Linked DNA regions of Drosophila melanogaster. The protein of the gene in region 1 interacts with the protein of each later gene in a pairwise test. Each region holds a gene or a part of one and is shown on either strand. Other genes may lie near its edges.

Region 1 (5,506 bases):
GAACTTTGTCCCGGTTGGTAGTTCTGTTGGACGGTGACAATCCTCGGAGTGGTGATATTTGCCGCTGTCACCGTCTGACGTCCAGTAGGCTTGGGCGTCACAGAGAGCTGGCAATCCGGCTCCAGCATGCTGAGCAGATCCGGTGTGCAGACCACTTCGTTGTTGGAAGCTTTAGCGCGCTTGGATGGTGGTCCCGGAGGAATGGTTTTTGGCATGGATCCCCGTTTACTCGAGCCCGCTGAGCTGCCCTGGCTGCGTTTGGAGACATTGGACTCCAAGCTTTCCATCGAGTCGGATAAGCTGCTGGTTTTCGACTTCGCCAAGCGACAGCAATTGCTGTTATCCTTAAGCATTTGACGTCGGGCCTCCACCTCGGGAAGCTGAAGGGTTTGTAGGGCCCTGCATTACATTAAATAAGAAAAGTCAATTTAGAAAGAGATTAATCACTATGATAAGTGAATGAATGAAAAGACTTAAAGATGCCATAAGCATAGACAAGTAGGACTAAAAACCGCACCTTTTCTGCGTCTGAAGATAGTTGACCAGCGCCCAGTGTTGGGCTCGTAGTGGCCACAGGATCTTGGAGGTGCAGCTGAAGCAGTTCCAGTTCTCGTTTTGCTCGATGTCCACGATGACGCCCTTGGAGAGGTTCTTCACGATGCACGACTTGCAGAAGACGTAGGGGCAAGTGGAGCAGCAGTATACCTCGCCGCCCTGTCCGCACCAGCGGCAGTACAGCTCAGAGCCATCCTCGCCCTTGGAGAACTCGCCGCTGTTGTAAAAATCGTGGCACTTGACGCAGTGCGTCACCCGCAGTATGGGATGCATCTTGATGTTGCTCTCGGCGGCGGGTGCTGTGCCCAGGTGAAGCTTGCACACGGTGCAGTGCACCTTTCGCTGGTTCACCAGATCTACGTTGGGGTACATCTTCAGGTAGAAGCGGCGCTCCTCGTCTGAAAGCGAGGGGTGCATCTCGAACTTGGAGCCTGCGTTGCGGGTATATGCAATTTATATGCAATTTTCCACTTGGCTGATGCCCAGTACTCACTCGTGAAATCCGCATCCAATTTGGCCAGTGGCGATGGCGACGGCGTCGCTACCTTTGCCAGGCCACTTTCGCTACCCGGAGCACTGTTACTCATGACTTCTGTTCCGTATCCGGGCCTCTTGGACTAGAGCACTGCGATCCGCACCAATTTTTGTTCTAAAACGCGAAAAATTCACGATTTTCTGCTGCCGCCGCAGAAAAAAGCGGCGCGCTTATCACTTTTATGTTTGGCAACACAATAACAACAGGGCTGCAAGGGACGCGTGTTTACAATTATTTATTAGTTGGGCAAACCGGGAAAAAATATTATTGGGAGATCCTGTACTGAATGCTTCGCAGCAAGTCTCCTCGAAAATGTGTCAGATTTTTTCACCCGAGAAAGACAGCTGAATATTCCGCATCAAATTCAATATGGCTGCCCCTTCGGGTTCCAGCCGAAGTAGGCTCTACGAAGTCTATATAACAAGTTCGGACCGATACTCTAAAATTTTCTTAGGAAAACATGGCTAAAATTTTGATCAAAAAGAATATTTCTTTTTTTTTGGCATCAGAGGATCATTAAATTAGCTATAATATCACTCTAATATCACAACATTTATTGTAAATTTTTTTTAATCATTTCTATCGTTTTAAAGGCTGATAAATATATTTTATATTTTAAAGAATGTTTTCGTATTCGTTAGTCTTTGCAAGCCTTGGCAACCCTAAACTTACTAGTCATCTCTTTTACACTCATCGTCCGTCCATAAGAATCCGAACGCGTTAAGAAAGAGACAGCATATATGTGTTATTTACGAAAAACAAGAATTTTTTAAACAAATCAATATTCCAAATTGCTTTATATTTTTAACGTTTTAATTTCTCCCGCATAAGAAATATTTGAGATATCTAAAGCATTTGGCGAACTGGTTCCAGGCAATCGATATATGTGAGACCGTATAAACATATCGAGTTAACAGAATTAGTAAATCATGACTTCACATAAAATCATTAAAACAAGTTTTCAGAACGCAACAACTGATCTTCAGACAACTTTTAAAAATAAATCAAGTAAGATTTTGGAAACATAAATTCCACAATGTCAAAATATCAGTAAAAATAACTTAAAGTAACTCGAATAACTTGAACGAGGAAATCTTAATGAATAGTTGATCAAAATAATCAGTCAGAAATAGGGAATTTTATAATTGTACACATATTAGTAAGTCGTAAGGTTTCGTATTATGAACATGTAGATGTTGTACTAAGCATTTCCTATTACTATTTTAAATATATAAATATATAAATAGACATTTATATATAAGAATTTCTTTATTACAAAGTCAATTGATAGTCGCTCATCGTTTCTATGTTACAATTACTGTTTACTTTTCTTGACTTCTTCAAAATATTTAAAATATGAACATATGGATCACATTAGAAATTTAATAAATCTTTTATGTCTGGTATTTACGATATAAGCAAATTTATAACTAGCCCGAAGCAAATTCTGAATCCTTTGAAATACCTTGACAATTATGTTGCTAGTATTAAGTTAATGTTTTTATTATTTATTTATATATTTTTATTAATGTTTGTTCTACTCTCACAAAATTTTGTATATTAAAAGATTTAATATATGAAATCTGTATCGATAACTATATCGATAAATCACATTGAGATATTAGAAAATTGAAAAAGGCAATAAATTTTTTCCAGTTTTAATAAATAGTGATGGGAAACTATCGATAGTTGCGCCATTCGATATTTTCGATGTTTGGAGAGCAAATTTTCGATATAACTTTAAAATAATAAAAATATTAGCAATTTTAAATGTTTTTCTCAAATAGGTATAGTTACCTTCCAATATTCTAGAGGATCTGTATTTTCCTCTGAGTACTTCGGATTAAAAAGCATTACAAAATTTTTCAATGTCCTACGAGATGGAAGCTTATATCGCGTATCAAATGCTTTCAGTATATCGCGAAATCCATTGTCCTCCACTACTGAAAATGTGCGCATATCAGTGGCTATGTACATACTTCATGATAACTCGCCGAGTTCTGCTATCCGACGAGAACTCGAGTCGTAGCTTGGAGTCACACATTAAAACTTTTCCACATTGTGAATATTTCGCGGTCTTACCATCAGTTGATTTAACAAAAATGAACAGCACTATCGATAGCGACAAAAAACCATCGATAGTGGCTCAGAAAAGTAAATATCCGATACCTCGATAATATCGATTATCCCAGCACTAGTTCTATTTTCACAAAGATGCAGCAATATTAACAAAGTCATTTATAATTTATTATTATTTAAACAATATAGATCCTTTTAAAAAACATTGAGCTAAGGTACGTCCAAAAGATTTAAAATAAAAATTGAGAATGTGGTGGTAACTTGCTAAAAACAACTTCTCGCTCTTTCCTCATTATTTTGTTTACAAAACTTTTAAAGCAAAGGTTGTCTTGGAAATTTATTCAGTATTTATACTTTCTGTAGTGGGCTTCAGATATTGAAACTGACGTCGCTCCAAGCAAACGAAATGTAAACATATTTATATATACTAAGCATAAATTAGAACGTTCCATTCGTTCTGTTTACTCCCACCCAGATTTTGTAAAGGATTATCGGTGGCCGCAATGGAAAGTGGGTCGACTGCCAAGACGGGCGATTTCTTTTACGGTTGGGATCTGCTGTACAAGACCGTTAAGGCTGATGTCTCCAAGAAGTCAGACCTTTTGATTGCCCTCGTCCATTTTCTTTTGACCAAGCATTACAACTTCCGATGCGTTGGCGTTGGCGATGATGTGAGTATGATTATGGCCACGCATATTAGTGAAATCATCTGGAATTCCATAGAAAACCTTGCCGGAGGAGGAGGGCAGTGAGCTGCTGCCGGACAGCTGGAATGATGACGATACCAAGTACTCGCTGCGCTACGTGCACGATAAGATGCTGTATTTGCTGCTGGGCCACATCACCGAGGGCTCCCTGCTGATCAACCTGTTGGACATCAACACTAAGAAGGTATCCAACATCTGCGTAGAACCAGAGACCCTGGTACCTGAGGTCAAGGGAGGCATCACCACCATAATGCCGAGTGCCTCAGAGATTGTTGAACGCTACCGTAGGGAGCTTCTAGACCCTGTATTCACGGGAAACTCGCGCGAAGTTACCACGCAGACGACCAACTCACCACGCCCCATTGGATCGGATCCAGATCCCTTGCGCATCGGCGAGCCAAGGCGTGGCGGGTAAGAACACTTGTGGATAGTTTTTTATACACTCGTTAATCGTTTCCCCTCGTTTAGATCCTTCATTCCAAGTGCATTCGAGCCTCGCCCTTTTGGATTTCCGGACGTTGGACGCGGGGATCTCGATCCACTGGGTCGCGGTGGTCATGGTAACCTGTTCAGCTTTCCATCACGCCCAAATATGGGCCCGGGACCCGTGCCCCGCTTCGACCCGTTCAATCCCCTGAACCCGAATAGGCCGGGACAGGGTGGAATCAATCCAGATCATATGCGCCCACCAGATTGGAATCCCGATTACTACATGTAATTACCAGGAATGCCATGTATAGTGAGCAATTCAAATCTTTAGTTTAAAGCAATGAAAAAAGTTTTCATTTTAGAAGACCAAAATTAAACGGATTGTTTTAAAAGATTATTTTTATTACGTTGCATACACAATACAGAATATTACAGAATTTTACAGATATAAAATAAAAAACAGCAGCCTGTTAGACAACGCTTGTTTGAGTTTTTACTAGAAAAATTCGTAGTTAAGAACATTTATCAAGTAAATACGCAAACAGGCCAGTTGAGTTGACGGCTGCTCAAGAGAAATTTACAATATACTTAAAAGCTTAACTGAACTCGTGATGTAATGGCTATTCATTCATTTCGTACAACAGGGTAAACAAAATTGGCTCAAGTGCGTAATCTCAAAATTGCTAGGGGAAAAGCGCGAAAAATCACGGCACTAAATGTTACAATGGTTTGCGATTACTCTTGTTTTTTTTGTTGCTGCTTATGCCTAGCCTAATATTATTTTACCATAATATTTTGCTAAATTAATATAATGTAAATAATATTTCAAGCTGTGTGCAGCCGGTTGACTTAAATTAGCTCTGCACGGTAGGCGTCGTTCCCTCTCACGCCGGGATGTGCAAGTGTTGTGGTGTGTTTTGTGCCTTGGCCGCTCAAAATCCGGCTAAAATCCCGCCCAGGTGCGGTGTGAACTACGCTCAGTCCCATTCCCCGATGAACATGCGTGGCGTGGGCACGTAGCCGCGCGTTGGCAGCGGTAAATGGCGTCCGTAGATGTGATTGTAGGGTGATTCAACAAGCTCCGAATCTACAAGAAGCACAGAAATCCGTGGTTAAAAATCGGGTGCGTGTACAATTGTCGGGATAATTATGTGTGCTGGGGTGGGTGGATTCTATTGGTAGACCCAAGCGGGTACTTGGT
Region 2 (5,231 bases), on another chromosome or scaffold:
GCGAGAGTTCCTCGAGCAAATCGATATTAATAATGTAGGTGGATAGGGTGCGCAGATTGAACGATTTCCGTTGCTTGATCAGGTTAAATATCTGTTGAGTGAGCAGAACATCGTTGAGTAGATTAAGTTGCTGCAGCACTAGGATATCCCCTAGCAATCGATCTGGAACGTTCGGTTCGAAGACCTTGCGACTCAGTCTGCTGATGATGGCTCCCACGCAGTACTGAACCAACGCTGATCGAGTGAGGGGCAGAAAAACCATGTGCCTGTGGCCCTTCAGCGACATATTCTCCAAAAGTTGACCCTGGGTGGTGGGGAGTTCTGACAGGATCTTTAAAATGCACTGGAAGCCCTGGAGCTGTGTGAGAAATTCATTAAGGTTTACCCATGTGAAAAAACTGGCTCTCTACTTACCGTCATGCTGCCTTGCATTAGATTAAGGCTCAAGATCTGCAGGCTTTGCACCAGACTGCTCTGGGTGGTCATGTCCGCCATAAGCTTGTTGGCCTCATCCCGGTGTCCGAAATATATGGCCAAGTCGAAGAGGAATCTTGAGATCCAAGGCGCCAAGGGAAGAGCCAGCATAAGTTGACTGAAATCCCTTTGGAACTGATCCGTATTGAGCAGCTGCCAGCACTGGGCGGCGTGTAGGAAGGCCTTGGATAACTCTGGACTTATGGCCGTGGTCAGGGAGAATTTCGGTGGCTCCATGCTGGGCACTTCGGAGCCATCACCTTCCGGCGACCATTCCATGAATCCTTCTACCAAAACATGAGTTACATCGGCATCCTCGATCCTCAGCTTACAATTTCGTATATAACCATGAAGGGAGTAAATGAACAAGGTGGTGGCGTAGAACAAAACCTGGGAGCTGCCCGCAGGACTGCCGGAAAGTATGTCCACCAGCTTTTCCCAGTAGACGTTCTGGTTGACATGCTTGCTGAAGGGCAGGAAGGGCTCCCAGCCCATCATCTGACCGCAGATCATCAGCACTTTAAAGATGTTCTTCCAGGCATCTGCTGTATCCGATTCATCCATTATTTGCCGCAAATAAAACTCCAAGGAACTGGTATAAAGTCTGCAGGCCAGATTTGGCGAAAGTTCCGGGGGCTTATTCTGGATCATGGGCAATACCTCCTCCACCAGAATCCGCTGATAGAGATCCGGTTCGGTTTTCATGCCCTCCGCCAGCATTTCCAGTAGCCTGGGAGCCTGAGTTATGGCTGATTTGGGAAACTTGTTGAACATCAGTATGTAGATATAGATGCGCTCCAGATTATCGGCACTGTGGTTGATGGTGTGCATGAATATGTTGTGCTGTACTTCCGGAGTTAGGTGCTTGTACATTTTTACATAGAACTCGTGTTCCGGCGTAGTTTCATTCTCATTTCTGAGGGCATTTGTTAGGGAGTTGATCTCCTGCCACAGCTCCGTATGTTGATTCTGGAAATTGGTGGCTCTGGAACAGTAAAAGATAAAGTAACTGGAATAGATGTGCTATTGTATACTCACATAGCACTGAAACACTTTGCTGCCTCCTCATAATTCTGAGCATCGCGTTCCAGTAGATAAGCCTCGTATTGCAGGTTGAATGCATTGGGATATAAAGTTTTAGCTGTGATAATCCAGGCCATGGCCGCGCAAGGATCGCTTTTCCGGAGTCTTTGCGCCTCCTTGACCATGTACAACTCATTTTCCTCTTGGCTCGGCATGTTTCTTCGGGTATATCTTTTGTTTTTATTAATTTTCTCCTAGTTTCAACAAAAACAAACCATTTAGCCGGCTATTAGGAATTTATTTACTAGCACTGGCCATATTTTTCTATTAGGGATGGGAACTATTGGATCTAGAAACTAGCTAGAGATTTCAATTATTTTCAAAACGCTTGTTTAGCATAGTGCGCTTGTTTTAGTTACATTAGGGCTGGCGTTATTGAGTCATTTCAACCTAAAACGCTTTTTATATCAATATATGTTCGGTGAATTCGAAGATATTTAATTTTCAGCTTGAATATAGCTAGCTTAACAAGCGACTCTCTCCTCATCTGCAATCGATAACAGCAGCGGCAGTAGTGTTGCATAGTAGCTGCCAGCCAGCTGATTATTCGCTAAATAACCAATTGTTTTTTCGCGAATTTTTCAATTTTCTGTGATTTTTGCGGCTACAAAATCGAAAACTATATTAAGCAAAATACATACGAACCTGGCAATTGCGACTGCTTATGTAATATCTGTGACAAACCAAGTTTTCTAGAAAATACCTGCCGATGCGTCGTTGCGCTTTGTTTTTGTTGCGTGAATAAGAATCGTTGGATATTTGTACATTCGCAATTTGTTGTAAATATGTTTAAATCTTAAGTGCCACAGCTTATCAACGAAGTAATATAATTGCGATTCCCTCCTTTTGTTAATCAGTCCCACTATATAGCACTAAATATAAAAATTGAGTGCACAAATCGCAGTATGCCCCATTTTCTGATTGTCATTCCGAAAACAAACAATGACAGTCGCATTGAAAGTTTAAATCAAATCGTTTCCCAGAAAATTCGTACGTAAATATCTGAAATGTCAGACACTAAATCCGAAATTGAGGGCTTTATAGCCATTCCCACGACATCGGGCGAACAACAACAACAACAGCCGCAACAGCAGCAAAATGAGCAACAAGTGGTCGGCACAAAGGACATTAAAGCTCCTGATCAGGGTAAGTTGTGTAATATTTATAGAAACTTACTAACTTACTTAAGAGCGCTCTATGTAATTGATAAATGGCCTGCAAATAACAATCGTTCATTAGTATCTTATCATATTCTATATCGTAAAATAATCTTAAAAAATACGATTATTGTATATATTAATATTTAGTTGAGAGTATCACTGATATCTAGAAGTTATTCATAATCTATAATAGAAATCATTATTTAATACATATCACTTAACAATAGATACTCATAAATCATGATAAACAAGACAACGTACACTAATTCATGCATTATGCTAATAACAATCTGCTCATTCTATAGATATTTTTTTAACAAATTTATTTGTACCTGTTTCTATTGTTAGTTTATAGAGCAATGTGTTTTTCATCCACGAATTATGCATATCTATTTACTCATACCTTGAATCACTTAACTTGAATGAAGTTCCTTAGACTTTCATTCCAAGATCGGCGACTCTCTTCGATGAATCATCAAGTTAACCCCTTCGAATAAAAGTAACATAAATTCCGAAAAACCTGTTTGATTATTTTGTAAATTGCTTCAAAAATGTGACGTTATATTTATTGTAATAATAGCCGTTTTAATTGTTCAGTTCCAACTTGTTTAACCTAGTGTCTTATCAAATATATTATGTAAACACAAAATAATTCTAAGTTTGATTAATTTTACAATTTATTTTAAAGCAAATTGAGTAGTGAATTAAATATTTATGTCGTGTTAGACATAATTTTATTTACAATTTCTTTCGTGATTTGTTTTTGAATGCAAGTGTTAATTTACTTAATTTATTTAAAGTTCTACATCAGTCTTAAAGTCTTAACGGGAGTTTTGAGTTTACTTCTGTGTTCTATATTTTGTAGTGTCAAAATGTATTGTATATAACTACCGGTTTGAGTTGTTGCTTCCGAAATCCGCACATAGCAGGTTTGTTTCTGCAATTTTCAATCTTCTCCTAACCAACCAACAGCACAGACAATTTCACTAATCATATCCTCGAGATTCTGTTTAAATATAAATACAAATAAAACTCGTTGCAGTGGGGAAAAAGCAGCGACCACGTTTGATACAAGAGAAGAGCACCCAGGAGACAAATCCGTTGATCCTGGAGCATGCTACTCTGGAATGGGTGCCGCAGCATATGGATAAGCTACTGAATCAGTATCAGGAATGTCGCAAAATGCCGGCTGCCGAGTGGCTTCATTTGTTGACTTACCTGGTGGCCCTGGAATGCGGATTTGTGGAGGAGGAGACATTTGCCCAGAAGAGACACCTCATTCAACCCGTACCATCATTTAGCAGCTTTCACGCCCAGAATGTGCGAATCCTGAGCGAACAACCAGCTAGATATGAAGTGTGCTTCAATGACACCGTCTATATAATGCGACTGAGAACACTATTGGACAAGCATGCTCCCGAGGAGACTTCTCTGGTGGCTGCCCTTCAGTGCCGGCTGATGGCCGTCAGCCTGGGGGATCAGCTTATGATCACCCTGTCCCCAGCACCTCCGTCGAAGGAGCCTGGCTACAGCGTCAGCCTGTCTATCGGACGCTATGTACTGAATATTCAGGCGAAGAACAAGCCCATCTACCATCGCTTTCGGAAGCTGGATGAACTCTCATATCAGCTGAAACAGCACTTGTTCCAGCCCATGCGATCGCAGCAACTAATGCAGATGGAGATGAAGCTACAGCCCTCGCTATTGGGCCTCCCGGACGAATTGTACTTCGAGATCTTCAGATATCTGGACAAAAGCCAGCTAAATGTGGTGGCCAGGGTCAATAGACATCTTCATTTCTACAGCAAGGAAGTGGAGCGAAAAAGGCTAAAGGGCGGCAGAAGCTAAGCTCTTGTTTTAATCGAAGCCGGTTTAAGCGATTTTATAAATATTATTATATTAATAAATTATTAAGTGGTGCATAAAGATTCTCGGGAATCATTGTATGTCAATAAATATATTTGCTTATTCAAGTAAATGCCTTGTTAAGAGCTGAAATACAACACGTCTCTTTATATTCTCTGAAATGTTTTAAATATTAAGACGGATTTTTACAATAAACTATCCTCAAAGATAAAGGGAATATTCCTTGCTTTATTTGGTGGAAGGCATGGATTTTTTCAATTGAAAAGGTAAATTCGAGAAAGTGATTCAATTAATTAAGCACTTCAGTTTTCAGATAGATTTTAAGTAACAGGGGAAGGTGTTTTAAATTACTGAAGCTTCTTATGTTTTGTTTTTTTACATATGTTTTAGTAAGAGTAAGAGTAAGAGTAATACCATATATTTGTGTTTAAATTATCCTTTAAATTGTGTCCTTATTGCATGCATTTATACGACCCGCTCCATCAGCAAGGACAATTGTGGATCCTCCGACGCCCTCGGCTGAGTCCTGCAACTCCTTCGATATCTTTGAGCCACCTGCCACGCCCCTGGATTCCATTAGCCTCAAGAGCAGTGCCAGTAGTTACCTCTACGATCGTGATATTACAGGTGAGTTGCGTCCACGTGTCC

What was found.
Region 2: the proteins of PI31 (region 1) and ntc interact in binary tests that used the Drosophila melanogaster proteins (3 or more experiments, as listed by UniProt).

The regions. Positions count from the first base shown.
Region 1 is NT_033778.4:11,966,618-11,972,123, reverse strand, and holds PI31 (proteasome inhibitor 31 kDa), read left to right. Parts: upstream 1-2,008; 5' UTR 2,009-2,098; intron 2,099-3,273; exon of another isoform or gene 3,274-3,384; intron 3,385-3,469; exon of another isoform or gene 3,470-3,644; 5' UTR 3,645-3,672; coding exon 3,673-3,840; intron 3,841-3,892; coding exon 3,893-4,287; intron 4,288-4,344; coding exon 4,345-4,594; 3' UTR 4,595-4,781; downstream 4,782-5,506. Other genes in the region: ADD1 (ADD domain-containing protein 1), read right to left, coding at 1-399, 518-986, 1,049-1,142.
Region 2 is NT_037436.4:3,803,293-3,808,523, reverse strand, and holds ntc (nutcracker), read left to right. Parts: upstream 1-2,064; 5' UTR 2,065-2,564; coding exon 2,565-2,703; intron 2,704-3,759; coding exon 3,760-4,565; 3' UTR 4,566-4,692; downstream 4,693-5,231. Other genes in the region: IntS10 (integrator 10), read right to left, coding at 1-358, 415-1,459, 1,513-1,712. UniProt on the Drosophila melanogaster protein: Functions together with PI31 to control non-apoptotic caspase activation during sperm individualization. Positively regulates PI31 stability.